Linked DNA regions of Lonchura striata. The protein of the gene in region 2 binds, or shares a complex with, the protein of the main gene of each other region. Links are inferred from orthologs where the notes say so. Each region holds a gene or a part of one and is shown on either strand. Other genes may lie near its edges.

Region 1 (7,708 bases), on a different chromosome or scaffold from region 2:
ATTAATAGATCACACAGATAACTGGAAAGATCAGAAAATCAGTCTCTGGTTTTATTTAAGGATGGGATTCAACTCCAAGGGCATTTTTCTGCCCCACTATCAGCGAAACTCATCTCTTTCCTATCTCAAGGACATTTTTCTTCAATTTCTATGTATTGTTACTTGGAATTTCAAGTATTGAGCATGAACTGGTAAACTGTTTCACAAGAAACTGCTTTGGAAAAATACCATCAGTTTCTGTATAATCAGTACTTCTTCTAAGAGATCTTTAATTTGTATCTTGAAAGTAAAATTACTGTGACCATACAGCTTCAGGGCCTGTTACACTGTACTGTTTCCCAGGCCACAGAGCCAGGGCACTGGTTCTTCCTAAGCTTTCACTGGTGCAGAGAGAATACAGGAGCCTACAAACAAACACCTATTCCAGAGGCTCAAGCTGTAACTGGCTGAGGAAGCACATTAATCATCACCCAAAGAGAATGCAGTAAGCAATAGGGAAAAGAATAGGGATAGCTCAAAAGATACCAACAACAAGCAAGCCTTCTGTCAGCTCCTCAACATTCAGTATAGTGAACTCCCAACATGTATCACATATATATAACAATTTCCAGTGAAAACCTGCTCCAGGTTTCACAAATCAAAGAACACACAAAATCCCTTGTGAAAGCTTGGAGGCTGAGCAGCCTCTCTTTCCAAAGTCTGTTCAAAGTTAGGTAGATGAAGAAGGCCGGGGCAGGGAGAGGACCCCAGGAGGAATTCTGCCTCTTTTCAAATCCAGGCACCTACCAGCCTGCAGCTGATGGAAAAGCGAGTTCACTGAGGATGCTTTAGGAATGGACAGCTGGCAGAAAAATCCCTGCCTCCCCTTTTCTATTATATGCCCTGGAAGGGGTACTCTCCCTGGGATAGCTCCTGCCTCCTGCTTTCCTGGGAGGTCTTCAAAGACTGGTTATCTTTGTTTAGGTACATATACACACTCTCTTAATATTCTCCAGATATAAGGACACACATGTGGTGTTATACAAAATAATACATACACTAATAAGGTGAAAAAAAGAAAAATCGGGCTGGAATATTAAAAAAAAAATCTCATCCGTTCAAAAATTTAGATGTGATATCAACATACACTGGTTAGCACATGTTGACTAAAACATTTTCACAGTAAAGCTTTAATGTAAAATAAATATCCTAGATATCAGTGAGGGGCCTGAACTTTATATACAAGTATATTCAACACCATCCTACAGCCAGTAATGATAAGAGCAAAGTTAAGTAAGCCCGTAATGGTAAGAGGAAATAGGGTAAGTCCACCAATAGCAAGGAAAAGACACAAAAGAAAGAAATACATAGTAAACTAATGTATTTCCTGCAATAGGAAAGAGAAAAGAAAAAGTCTTGATGTCATCTGAAAAGACTGTAAGCAAAAACAGCACAAAACATGCAACACAAAACTCTTCAATGCGCTTGTGACATGCAGATGCCTTGGTCAGGAGAGCATTTTCCTGGAATTTCTGGGTGTTGGTCTGGCATTTAATTAACATTAATTAACAAAGACCTATTTTTTAAAACTATTTTAAAAGCACACCAGATCATATTTAAATGAAAGTCATTATTAGACTCATTACAATTGCAGAACTAAATTATGTCCTTTCTTCCGCTAAATATATTTTGATATTTGCATGTACCACTAGCTCCAAACTGGATTACTGTATGTCTCTGCCAAAAGACTTTTCAGACAGGCACTGTATCAAAAGGCTTCATTAAATTGTAACACCAGGCATAATATTCGTGCTCTAAATGCTGAGGGCTCCATTAATCCCATTTTGTGCATTTACCATTGCCTTCTGATTCACACAACTTTAAAATGCTGAAACCTCTGTCTTCTCAGAAAATTCTGTGATGTGGTATGTGGACTAGGCTGATACTGGGGAATACCATCATGTATTGGTCACATCCTTCTACTATCCATCTTTGATTTCTTTTCAGAAATTGAGCTTTACTTGCAAAAAAAAAAAAATACTGCTTTCCACATTAAAAATCAGAAGCTTTGAAGGGCTGAGAAACAGACATGCGCCCTCATTTTCCTTTCCAATGCAAAATACGCTTTCCTGGGCATTTTAACGAAACAGATGGTAGGTGCTAAGCCCCTGTACACGGCTTTCTCACTCACTTAGTGTCAGCACACATCTAAAAGGATATATTTCTAATAGGTGCCTTCTGATGCCCAATTGCTCCGGGAGCCCCTGCGGGATGCACGGCCCGGCCGGAGGAACCCAAAGAGCAGGGAGCCCGCAAGAGAGGCGCTCCCGGTGTGCGGATGGCACGGGATTGATTACGCACCAGGAGAGACGACGCAATTATAAAACACTGGCCCCGCATTCGCCTGCCCGTGCCCGCACGCAGGCGATCGCATCCCGTGGTTCTGCCTTTCCACGCACGACACCGAGATGCCGCAGGGACACACACACACACACACGCATACACACGCACGCAGCCCCGCCACAGCCCCCGGCAGGACTGAGGAGCCGAGCGCTCGCCCACCGCGACCCTCGGGCGGGAAGGACCGTCACGTCCCGGACAAAGGCTGATGGAGACGGGCAGCCGCCCGCGCCGACCCCCGGCTGCTGCCGCCGGTGGCTGCGCGGGGTCGGCGCCACCCCCGGCCTTACCTGCGGCGGGCGGGGGCGGCCGGTCGGGCTCGTCCCGCTCCAGGGTGACGGCGCCGTCCCGCCAGACGCGGAGGTGCGCGGCCGCCGCCCCCAGCCTGGCGGCGGGGGTCTCTCCGCGGCGGGCGCGCAGCGAGGCGCAGCACTGGTAACACACGGCCCACGCCTGCTCCTCGTTGATGGGCTGGTTGTAGAGCCGGAGGATCTCCTCCAGCGACAGCGCCTCCGGCTGCCCGCCGGACCCGCCGCCGCCGTCCTCCTCCTCCTCGGCGGCCGGGCGGGAGGCGCCGGGCTGGGGCTCCATGCCCTGCGTCCGCCGCGGTGCTCCTCGCTCAGTGACCGGCCCCGCCGCGGCGGCGGCGGCTGCTGATGCTGCTGCTTGCGCTGATGCCGCTGCTGCTGCTTGTGCTGCTGCTGCCGCCCGGTCCCGCCGTGCTCATCCTCTCCGCCCCGCTAGTACCACCAGGCCGCCGGACGGACAGCCCGGCCCGCGCGGCAGGCAGCAGGAGCCAGGAAACAGACAGGAGTCAGGAGGAAGGCGAGCACAGGATCAGCGCCCGGTCCGCCCGCCGCCGCCGCCGCCGCAGGGGGAGCGACAGCTCATAGCAACGCAATGGCGTCCTCGTCCTCGCCCGCCCCCGCCGCGCGGCGCCGCCCGCCGCCGCAGCGCCCCCTGCCGGCACGGCCGCCACGGCACGCGGGGGATCCACCCGGGGCTGCCGCGGCGACCGCTCGGCTTCCAGCTCCCGGAGACACCGACGGACCTGCGGCACTCGGCCCACGGCCCTCGGGACGCCGCTTCTGCGCCGGGTGTCGGTAACCACCACCCCCAGAAACAAGCAACTCCCGGCGGGACGTGGGATGACACTCCCTGCACCCCCAAGTGTTGAACACTTGACACCAACCCGCGCCATCACGGATACAGCGAAACGTAGCAGGGCCCCGCTTTCATAGCGGGAGGGTGAGTGCCTTTGAATTTACAGGTTCTGCCCTCCCAAAGCAAACTTCCTCCGGGAAAGCTCCATCCTCGGCAGCATCAAGGCTGGAAACGTCCACGGTACATAGAGAGGCTAGCGGAGTTAAACCAGCCCAGGCGAGAAGGGGAACAACAAGGGAATCGTCCTCCAAGCCGCTGGGAACTGACGTCCCTGCCCCTGGACACACCTGGGCACCAGAAGAGCACAGCCCTTCATGCCAGCTTCACCCCAGGCAAACGAGCACTTTCACGCAGAGCACCATCAGACTAAATAAGCTGGAGCTTACACCGAACACTCGGTGTTTCTGTCTTTAGCGTTGTACCTCTCAGATGTGAAACAAAAATCTCCCGTTCGCACCTGATCCACAGGGAGCCGGGTGTGAGGGACGGCGCCGGGAGCGCCCCCTGCCGTACAGGAGAGGTACTGCACCTGGACAAGGTCCCCGCCGCCTTCCACTTCCAGCTCCTCTCTTCCCATTCCACTTCCAGCTCCTCTCTTCCCATCCCACTTCCAGCTCCTCTCTTCCCATCCCACTTCCAGCTCCTCTCTTCCCATCCCACTTCCAGCTCCTCTCTTCCCATCCCACTTCCAGCTGCTCTGAACGCCGCTTTTTTCCTCTTTCCTCTTGTGCAACATGCAGCGGTGCATACAAGATGCAAGTTGTACTTAATGCTGTTGAATTTGGCGATAATCACCATGCAATATGATTTAGCCTTTCAGGCTACATTTAGATTCAAGGAAACTGGGGGAGAAATTGTACTTGTGAAGCTTTTATCAGCATCCTATATGCTGTGTAACAAGCAAATGAATGCATTTTGATCTTTCAGGCATAAAAAAAAAAGATACCACAAAAACAGACTTGTAAAGTTAGCGGTAGGGCCAGTAGGTACATAGTGTACTATTAAGAGTCCTAAATTTAAAAAACCTCAGTGCTGCCATAGAAAGTATTTAACATTTCTTGAAGTAAAAAGTTAAAAGTGGTTTCACACTGCCACACTGCTGATTAAATGTACATGCAAAATGCCAACATTCACTCCTGCTGTATGTGTTGCAAAATTCTCTTAGGATCAGGTACTTTTTTTGGTCCAGCACCAGCAGAAAGAGTTGCCTCCTTCTTACTAGGACAACCAAAGGAGGTGGTCATGGGCTATCACTGACACAGAATGGCTTCTACAGAAGAAATCAAACAGTTTCAGATTTTTCCAGGCACAAGAAGAGATGCCTGGAGTCCACATGGGGAAAAACCTGAGAAGTATGGTACAGAAAAGTTCAGTAAGCCCAACAGCTTGTCATTTTGCATAACATAAAGATTTAAAGATACTCAGCAAAATCATCACCCACAGGTTTAAGACAGACAAAATCACAGATGGCTAATTAAGTACAGATCTGAGCAACAGAATTACACAATGGCTGTCAAGGAAAATGTCCTGGCTACAATTTCTACCTCAGAAACTTCTTAAGGTAACAAGAGGCAAAAGGCACCAAGTTTAACTACTTTATCCAACCCATCATAGCTATTCATATCTTCAGGTATGCAAGTCTTAATGTGTATTTCTGAAATAAATCCATATATTACTAAATTCACAGATGAACAAGTTTACCTTTATCCAATTGAACCGTTCTCAGAAGTTGAATGTAGAAGTTACTGTTAGAGCCACAAGACGCAGAAATAAATTTTGTTGTCTGAAGGAAACATGCCTAAACACCAGTATTTCTGGAACCCAGTCACTCACAAAGTATACCCTCTACACTACAGGGAAAGGTGAGGTAGAAAAGAGTCTCTTACCCTGCAGAGGTAAAGCAGACCCAAACAAACTCTTAAACCAATTCAGAAGATATTTTTTGACACATTTTAGTAACTTGATTCACACTTCTGTAAATATAAAAAGTAACTTTTATTACAAAGAATAAATTCTCTTTATAAATACAATCATTACTGTGTACACAATCCCCTTCAATACACACACTGTGGTGTTCAAAATCAGTGGCATTTATATAAAATACTATATTCATTTTTAATTGAATCATTTTACACCCACATACATTATTTTGCAGGGCTAAAAAGGTATGAACATTTTGGGACTTTTTTCAAAGGACAGAGCGATATTTACAAGCAAACATGATCCAAACAGCACACGCAGATTCAGGGTATGCAAACACTCGTACACGAACTGCAAGTCGCACTTGGTCTCCCCTACAACAGATTATTTCTTCACAAAAAGGAGACCTATATCACAAAAAGAAACACAGGAGTAACAGACAATCCTAAGATATTGTTTAAGCTTTTAATTACATAGTGCAATTTTTTTTAAGTGTGACTAGCATTTAAGTAAAAATTAATATTGTGAATCTGTCATTACAAATAATATTGCTCTATAGTTGCCTTGGAGGAAAATGACACGACCACTGATCATTTTTAAGTACAGAGAAATGAAATTAACTCCTTGTTCTTCAATTTAATACACGAGAAGTCTATCACCATTGAATCACCAATGTAACCTAAATGCTCTGTACTTCATGATCCATTACACTACACCACTCTTCCTCCAGTTCTAACCTAAGGAAATTAATTTTCTTTAAAATCCATTATTAAAAAAATGAGTTGCAATTAGCAATTAAGGATTACTATTTCGTTTTAACATATACCTGTATCTTTACACTTAAGACTTACCGAAGACATGTGGCAAATGCTCTCCTGGCATTTCTGTGCACAAAATGGATGGGAAACCCTTTGAAGGTGTGACCATCAGGTACTGCTCTCCTTACAGCATCCTGAAACTCTTCATTTCCTGCACAAACACCTGTTGTGCGTTCCAGCTCATAGGCTGCTAATGCTGGTGACAACAGATAGGAGAGCTGGTCATCCCAAACAGTCGAAAGGCCAAGATCCTGGGAGGCAAGTCACAGAATGATGACAACTGTGCAGAAGGTACATCAGGATATGCTTAAACTCACCTACTGTATAGATTCAAATAAATCCAAGAATCTTTATATTGGCAGTTAATGGCAGTGTACTCACAAAGCAGTGAGATTCGTGTATTGACTCATACACCAATTGGGAGAAGCAAACACCACCACCTGAAGCAAGTGACACCACAAGTATCAAACATTTATCAAGGAATGAAGTTAAACTATTAGACTAAAACATAAGGCCAGCAGAGCTGAAACCAGATGTTTCAGCTACAGTATCTCTGCACAAAATGTAAGAAGATATGCATAAATACACAGCTAAAATATGGAAAAGATCAACTAAGAGTCACCTGACATTTTTTCAAATGTCTCATGGAAAACCCTTTCTGAAAAAATGATGCACAACAGCTCCCTGAAACACAAAGGCACCTTCTTTCTACCATCTATCTTCCCACCATGTACATGAACCTTCCTCCCAGCATCCCAAATGCAAAGAAGTAGAAAAATCTTCTGTCTATGTATTCAACACTGCATGAGACTTATACTCTGACAATTACTTTGCCACACTAAAGGCTGAGCATCGTGTGGGGAGATAAAACAGAATCAATCAAAAAACCTCATTAAAAACAGACATAAGCTAACAGGGACTTAAAATATCATTGTCTTCATGTCCAACACAGGAAGTATAATTGCTGGCACATTATGCCCTGTAAAAATCCTGGTGAAGGCAAAAATTAACTTCTAAAAATTTCTCTGATTTTGTAAAGCAGTCAGAGTAAGATCACGAAAGCTGAAAGCCTGCTTTCATCTAGGACCCAGAAACATTTTTGCTGGATTGGCAAAGCCCACTAACATCCAGGTTTCATCTTCCTGGTGCTTTTAGAGACCCCTCATGGGTGGTCTGCAGGTGCCAGTAAGCTGAAAGTCACAGATCTAGAACAAGGGGCAAAGGCAGGGTAGGTGGAAAAGCCCACATATGAGGCTGTGGACTACCACTGCAAATAATAGTATAAAACAGCTTATTACAGTCTTCCCAAACATTTTTTTTCAGGTTTTCACCTTTCCCATATCACGTTTCTGCAAAAGCTGATGGAAAACACACTGCAAACTAACAAATTGCTATCTAAAACAAGTATACAATTAACACACGAACTT
Region 2 (7,650 bases):
GGGCTAGTCTCAGAGGGAACTGGCTTTTCTTTGTTAAAAACCTTGAATTCTGATTTTCTAGACTGAAATTGGGGATTTTAGTTCAAGGCTACTGAAGAATGAAAGCACTGTGATTTGAATCTAGAAAATAATTTTAGATATTTACTTCCTAAATCATACTTTTCTGTTTGATCTTCATAAAACCACAGAAAAAGATCACTCAATTTTTTGCTAAGACCTTGTGCACATGTATGGTTGCTGTGCTCATGCATCTAGAACTGACTTCATTCAAAAAAATCTGATTTTATCTAACAGCAGATGCTCTTAGGGTATGTTCTCTTAGTTCTACAGTTTTTCCTCAAGTGAAAAATATATGGAATATGTTGCCGAGTTTTCTCTGTACACATACCTCCTATGTGGCAGAAGTGTTCCTAAGTATGAATATATTACCTTTAGAAAGAAACTTCAGGTGAGGGGAAGAGAGAGAAAAAAAAAACCTCAGAGTGAAGGAAAATATAACTACCTACTTACACAACTTCATTTGTGAGCTTTCTAATCCCATGTCTTTGGGACAGGATACAAGCTGTCTAACAGGAAGGTAAAAGTTTACTGAATGAGTCACCTTATGTAGCCTGAGCAGCAGCATGTCACAGCTACCAAATCGTACAACCCCCACTTTCCCCGTTTTTGCTGCCTTTCAATACACTGACTTTTTTCTTCTCCTTCTTCCCCCTTCTGAAGAGGAAATTGGTTCCTTTCTGAAGTGCTGTCCATCTGTGCTAGCACAGCTTTTTCCTTTTTGTACTAAGCAAATTCTCATCATTGCCTCAGTCTAACACCAGGTGCAGCTCTCCTGTGTTTATATTACACTAGAACAGCACCTAGCACAAAAAAACCCCAAACAGGATCCTGGTCACAGAAAGCTTTGCATTTGAAAGCTCTGTTCATGCAGAGAGCTGATCTGCCTACAACAGTACAGCTTTTAGCATTTTTCAACAAGAATAATTTAAGACATTCAGCCTTTTCCTACAGGATGTAGACAAAGGAGACAAGTAGAAAGAAAAACTTCAAAGAGTTATGCACTTCCTTTACGGGCAGTACTGCCAGACTGATGAAATGTGACTGTGTTTGTAAGATCAGGCCTTGGATTGCAAGGCCAAAGTACTGCATGCAATGAATTTAAGTATTTTAAAAATATTTTCAAAGCTGTTGTGGAAAAAAAAAACCAAAACAACTCTTAATACATATCACTTACCTGAAAAGACATTGGGAAATGTCTCTGTAGAAGCCTGGACCCCTGAGGACTTTCTTGAATGAGTCAAAGGCACACTTTCTGTTTGAAATTTCTCTCTAAACCCCTTGTGCTCCAAGTAGTCTGCAGAGCTCACCTTCTCCGTTATCTCGCTTTTGTGATTAGACACCTCTTCTGTCCAGTCTGCAGAACGACTGAACAAACCTGCCAAACTAGCAGACCTCTTCTTCCTGATTGAGACTTTTTCCTTTTTGTGGAAGGACTCCTGCCTCCTTGTGAAAAGTGGGCTCTGGGATGGGGAGGGAGAAGGTGAATGGTTGGGAGAACTCAGTTGCCTAGTTGTGGTTTTGATGTAACAGGGGTTAATTAGATAGGGCTTAAAGCATCGGGAACCAAGTATCGGGCTGTCCGCTGTTCCTTCAGAGGACAAAATGCCATTTTTCATTTCTGTGGATAAACCATTACGCAGCTCCTCTTGACTGGCTGACAGAGTGTGTTTCCCTTCCTGAGTCTCAGCAGCATGATCACGGCCTGCATCTGAAATACCACCCTCTGTTACTGAGCCCTGAAAACCAACAGCCTGCACTTCAGTGATTTTAGCCTCAGCATCTGCCACTGGAGATGGAAAAGGTTCTGTGGAGCTGTGTGCCTGAGACCCATTTTCTCCTGCAGCTCTATTCAAACCATCTTGTTGTTCACAGGCTACAGCATCCACTTCAGCAATGGGCTGCTCCTCAATCAGTAGCTGACCTTCTTGTGTTTCAAATAAGCTGTTACCAGGAGAGCCTGTGCTGTTTACCGCTTCTTTCGGTTCCCGTTCAGTTGCACAGGAGATGGGAATGTTTTCCACGATTTCCGATACCGCTGGAAAAGCCCCCTCAGTGTCTGGGCTCCTCTCTTTGTCAGTGGTAGTTACTGAAAAAAAACGTTCAAAATCTAAGGAGGTTGCTTGAGAATTAGCCATGTGTCGGCCCATTGTTTTGGTGACGAGGTCCTCAGTTCCAATGTTAATTGCCCCCTGCTGCTGCTGCTGCTGCAGTCTAATAGCTTGCTGGATATCAGAAAGCAAATCCTCTTGTTCTGCGGCTGAATGGAAACTGTATATATCCGTATCAGAGCCAGAGCTGGTCCTTTGTCCATCCTGTGTCTCTGCAGCAGCTGGAACAGTTTCATTTCTGATTTCAAAATGTTCAACATCTGTGTCTGAGAGACCCCCTTCATCTGCAGAGATGCTTATATCGGGAGTTTTGGTTACAATTGAATGAGTACTGTCCAGCTCCCCAGGCTGCAAGGCCTGGCTTTCCAAAACATCCTCCCGGGAGCTGCTATTCCCATCTTTAGCCTTGGACAGATTTTTTCTGATCCTCAGATTTGAAAACACAGAGGGCCTGGAGTCCGACTTACCCTTCTTCTTACCCGATTCGCTTCCTTTTGCATGCTTCCCCAGTCCCCTTCTGCCTCCCGATACCTTCTTTGTGCCGTCCGTATCCTTGGGCCCAGAGGCATCTTCTCCTCCTTCTTGCACATCACCTGTATTTTTCTTTAGCTTCCCATCTTGATTCCCCATGATTTTTTGTAGAGCAGCACCTTTGACAATCAAGCCATCCTCCCGGATTTCATTCCTTTGGCCTGCTGGCAAGATCCCCTCTAGCGATCCAGGCTTGTTTGCAGGCGGCGGGGATGCAAGTGAAGCAAATGCTTGCTGTGCCTCTCTCCCATCTGCTGGAGCTGCCTTTTTGCATAATGTGCTGCTTGCACTGGGCTCCGCTGGGACATGCTCAGTACAGCACTGAGAGCTGCAGACAGCTCCTTCCAATGGCTGCTGCTCTTGGAGCTGCCTGCTCGCCGGGCTCCTGCTGCACTTTTCTTGCTTTAGGAAGGATTCTGTGAAATATGTTTCCTTTAGAAAAATCACTTCTTTTTCCACGGTTTTTATTGCCTGCATTGCAAGCTTAGCTTGTCACCAAATCATTTATGATTTCAGTACTTCTAGCTCCTGAAGGGAAAAAAGAGAAAGAATAAGTTAAAACAAGGTACTTTAATTGCTCTGTAACTGCTCAATAAATAAATGAACAAACTTAGAAAGAGAAATATTATGATTATTTAATAGTTTATAAGGTGCTTAAGCATATGCCGCTTTGACAGATTACACAATACCTCTGGTGATTTATATGCTTGCTTTTTAAAGGCCACCAAAACAATAGATAATTTTAAAAGAAGAGTCCTTCTCCTTTTAAAGTAGCTAAAATAAAGATAATAGACATAAAGTTCTTTCCACAGTTTTAAAGAGTTGCACTTAAAATTCAATGCATTGTGGTAATTATGCTATAAAAAGCCTCCCACAATTTGTATTCTAAGAAGGTAGATATACTGTTATTCCCAGGAGAATCAGCTCATCAATATTAAAACACATCACCATTGTTTTCCCTCATAAGAACATCTGGCATGAAACAAGATAAAACAAAAAAAAAAAATAGTAGTATTCAAATGCTACTAAGGAAAAAGAAACAGTAAAGTACTCCTCTATTGCACCCAACCTATTTAATAATTGATTTAGATGGGAATACTTCCTAGCTACTTTGGAAGCTTGTGCAAAAGTTTGAATCAGTTGCTGCTTCTCCTTAATTTTTGCTTTAGATTTATAAGCTTCACTATTTCATAAATACATATTCTGAACTTTTAGATATTTCCTTCCACTTTTAAAATTTAGAATTAATATAACAGGAATAGAAATCAAAGGACTTGAGAATGCTGTTACCATAGTCAATCAATTCGGCTGTCCAATTCCGTGGTTCAACACCAAACAGGTAGTAATTAGATAGATTTTCTGTTTATAATTTACCATCTCTAAATTTTCCAGTCTATTAGATTCAGTTTTTGTAAAAGACTTTATGTATTCCTCATGGCTATGAACTTCTTCACTTGCAATTTCCCTTTAATCAGGGATTGCTTAAAATAATACATCATTCCAGGGAAACACATTCTTCTGGTTTCTCTGTTACTTTTGATGTAATTCCTACCAGAGATTTCACTTCTTTCCTCTGCCTTAATAAACATTAAAGAAGAAGGAGTACCACTGACATTTTAAAAACTATACAGGCACCCTCTCCTCCCCACCCTCTACTTCCTCCAAGACACACATTATTTTTTTTCCAAAAATTTCTAAATACCTTTACAAATCTAGGCTCTCTTTTTATAAACAGCAAATAAGTGCTTTTTATTTGGTTTGGAAACAATAACACTGGTAATAACCCATGCAAAATAATTTTTTTTGAACTATCATAATTTCTTCCTTGTGCTGCTTGGTCACTTACTGCTCTGATGTAAGCCCTGTCCTGAGGGGGCTATGGTTCAGACATAAGAAAGAAATCTCTTGTCTTCAAAAACTTGAGTGTTTTATGTGGATCAGATGACTTTGTCTACTCAATGGGACGATTTGGGTTTTTTAATTATTTTTCTTTATCTAACCAAGTTAAAAAACTAATTTTTTCTACTTTTAACACTTAACAACTATAAATATGCTAACAGGAACTAGTATAGCAAAACCTGCAAAAGCATGTCACAGGCTTTTGCTTTTTTACTTCATTCCTGCTTTTGCTTTCTGTTATGCTGTTATACTTTTTGCAATATTTTACCACTTACATCATTATTATGTATTTGCAAAAGGCTTTTGAAAGTGCAAATAATTTCAGTCCAACTGAAGATACACATAAGAATTAAGATATAATTTGAGAGAACCATTGTAGCAGAATAATACCTTGACGGGTATTCTAATTGACTAGAACTGAAAAATCTAAGCCTTAATTACAACTGGAGTACTTGTATCTTCCAACCTCACTTAAAAACTATTTTCCTGCTAAAATATGCCAGAAATCAATATAATTCAGGAGTAGTATAAAGCTACAATAGACCAAATGTGTAAGGGAACTTTAGAATTAGTGTAATGTTCTGAAACACTCCCTTTCCTTCCTTGTCTGTGAACTTGCCTGTCAGATCCTATACACTTCCATTACAACTAATGACAAATCACCAGCAGTGATTACTCTGCAAATTGTGTTGTAAAAGCAAGTCATCGACACAGGTAGGCTTATAAGGGAGTCAAGTTAAAGACCAATCTTCATTTCTTAATTAGATACTAATGCTTGTAATAGGTTTAATCACGTAAGTACTTATATTTCCTAGAAGTTTTCATACAGCACATCATGATGAGTCAGTCGTTAGAAACCCCCCACATAATGTATAGCCATAAATATTCTCAACATTTAAATATATTACAGTAAAAAACAAATGTTAATATTTTGGGATATGCTTATTCCCAGACAGTCTTTTAGTTTCTAGAGAAAAACATGTCATCAAAAGTCAGCAAGAAACCATTTTGATATCAACATAAGCTACATTTTAAAAGCTGACATGGCATTTAATATTTCACACCAAAAAAGAGAGACTTTCAACAGACACTGTATGGAGAAAAGAAAAAGATTGGGTGTTCAAGAAAGATATTTCATTTTAAAGAGTGATAACTCATTCTGAGTTACCATAACTTATTCTTAGCTTTCTATAAATTGTCAAGAAGCTACTGAGGGAACCTGCCTGCCTGGCTCAATCAATATTTGCCAGTGCTCAGCCAAAAATACTGAGGGGTGACACTACAAACATAGACCTGAGATCCTCTTCATCACTCTCCTCCTAAGCTCAGGAGATGCAAATGGCAACACACAGAGGGGAGTCAAAACTTACAATTGAAGAAACGTTATCCTTGTGCTCCCAGAAACCTCCACATTAACACACTCCTGTTAAAAACGCAAAGCCCTGTTCAGGACTGTGATTATTTTCAAGATAGTTGCCATTCCCTGCAGCCTCGCTGGAAAGGTGAGTAGCTCCCTCAGCAGTGCTTGCCTAGCCCTTAATGAGCTGGGAGGGGAAGGGCAGCCCTGACTGCCCACACCTGGGTCAGGACTCAGTCTCCTGGAGCACAGCCAAGGCAGAGTGCTGCCCCCCTGTCGGCTCAGGGCTTCTCCCTCCCTTCCTTACAGAAGGCTGCGTCAGCAGTCCCAGTTCCTGCTGTTTCAGACCCATGGCAAACATGGGCTGCCTGGAGGAAAAGAGGGGTGCCTAGGGGAGCCTGCTCAGTGGAGACACAGCTTTCTTGGGGTGGATGAGTTTTCACCATGCTTTACTGACTGTGGTATTTCATTCTGCTCTCAACAGTAGTTGTTGAATAAGCCCAGTAAAGCGAAGACAACACCCTGTTACTGCCTCAGGCTGTGCCCGCTGGAGTCCAAGCCTTTGGGCAGGGTTAGGCTTCACCCACCCGACCCCAGGAAAGGGTTTCATGCACAGGAGTGTTACCAAGACACAGAGGACCCAAAGCAGCATCCCAGCAGTGATGCTGCACCAGCAGCACTGCAGCAAAGATGACCTGTGTGTGCCATGTGCCCCCATAGCACCCTGCAGAGTGACTGAGGGACAGGCCCTGTGCTCACAGCCAGCCCTTCCAGCAGCCCACAGTGGCTGTTCAGGCTACGTGTGTGTGTGTGTGTGTACATGGGCTCTGTGCCCTGCCACTGCCCTGCTGGGAGACTCAGGGGAGATGAGGCTGCTGCAGCCCAGGGCATCTGCTCTCCTGCGAGTAAGACACTACATGGCAGGCCAAGGCAGAGGTTGACTAGAGGGTGCTGAATCTCAATCTCCAAGGACTCAGGCTCCACACAGATGTGGGCTGAGGCTGGGGCAGCAGCAGTGTGAGAGCCTCAGCACTGTACTGCAGCCCTGGATCTGGGCTCTGCTGCCCCAGCACTGTGTGCTCTCCAGCCTCTTCTCACACCAGTCCCAAAGAAGACATGGCTGCAGGAGATCCTCATATATTCCATACAAACCCTGCAGAGATTAATTTTAGTGAGTGGCTCAATGTGCATGGGTTTAGTTTGGAGAAAAAGGAACATAGAGTAACAAGAGCATTTCAAAGTACTCTGGTGTCACATTACTGACTGGGATATGGTAATACAGAGCGTGTGAAGAAAGAGTTGTTTAAGCAGACCGAAACATTCTACCCATTTATGTTACTAAAGTTTGAATTCTCATTCTCATTCAGTTCAGTGCTGGAATTTGGTCCTGATTCCTGCTGTCTTGTGGCAGCAAGAAGCCTTCCCTGGCTACTATTCTGAGCATGATGTAAAACTTATCTTCCCAGAAGGCATCAGCTACCATTAAATATTCCCTCACATTACCAAAATCATGCTCCAAGCAGTTGAAAATTTATTCCTGCCCCTACATTCCCATCTCTTTCAGCTATAGGGAGAATTGCCTTTTAGAACTTCACAAGCTCTAGATGTGACTGGCAAGGGATAAGTCAGAAGATCAGAAAATATCAATTGAACTGAGACTATAGTGGCTGGGATTAAAGCCAATCCTGCCCTTGT

What was found.
Region 1: the proteins of FMN2 (region 2) and SPIRE1 are in contact, whole or in part, in a crystal structure (PDB 2YLE), measured with the Homo sapiens proteins. The link is inferred for Lonchura striata from reciprocal best matches to the Homo sapiens genes FMN2 and SPIRE1. Residues at the interface, in NP_064450.3 of Homo sapiens: Ser1702, Leu1703, Lys1705, Ile1706, Lys1707, Pro1708, Arg1709, His1710, Gly1713, Ile1714, Lys1715, Lys1717, Ile1718, Lys1721, Thr1722; in NP_001122098.1 of Homo sapiens: Gln51, Pro52, Ile53, Asn54, Glu127, Ile131, Tyr134, Lys135, Asp138, Leu141, Lys142, Glu143, Asn144, Glu145, Glu146, Arg147, Glu148, Glu154, Ile157, Asp158, Ala161, Asn162, Thr163, Val164, Glu165.

What each region holds. Positions count from the first base shown.
Region 1 is NC_134603.1:53,147,214-53,154,921, forward strand, and holds the start of SPIRE1 (protein spire homolog 1), read right to left. Parts: upstream 3,268-7,708; 5' UTR 2,971-3,267; coding exon 2,670-2,970; intron 1-2,669. Other genes in the region: CEP76 (centrosomal protein of 76 kDa), read right to left, coding at 5,732-5,870, 6,315-6,532.
Region 2 is NC_134605.1:47,123,340-47,130,989, reverse strand, and holds the start of FMN2 (formin-2), read right to left. Parts: upstream 3,039-7,650; 5' UTR 2,799-3,038; coding exon 1,235-2,798; intron 1-1,234. UniProt on the Homo sapiens protein: Actin-binding protein that is involved in actin cytoskeleton assembly and reorganization. Acts as an actin nucleation factor and promotes assembly of actin filaments together with SPIRE1 and SPIRE2.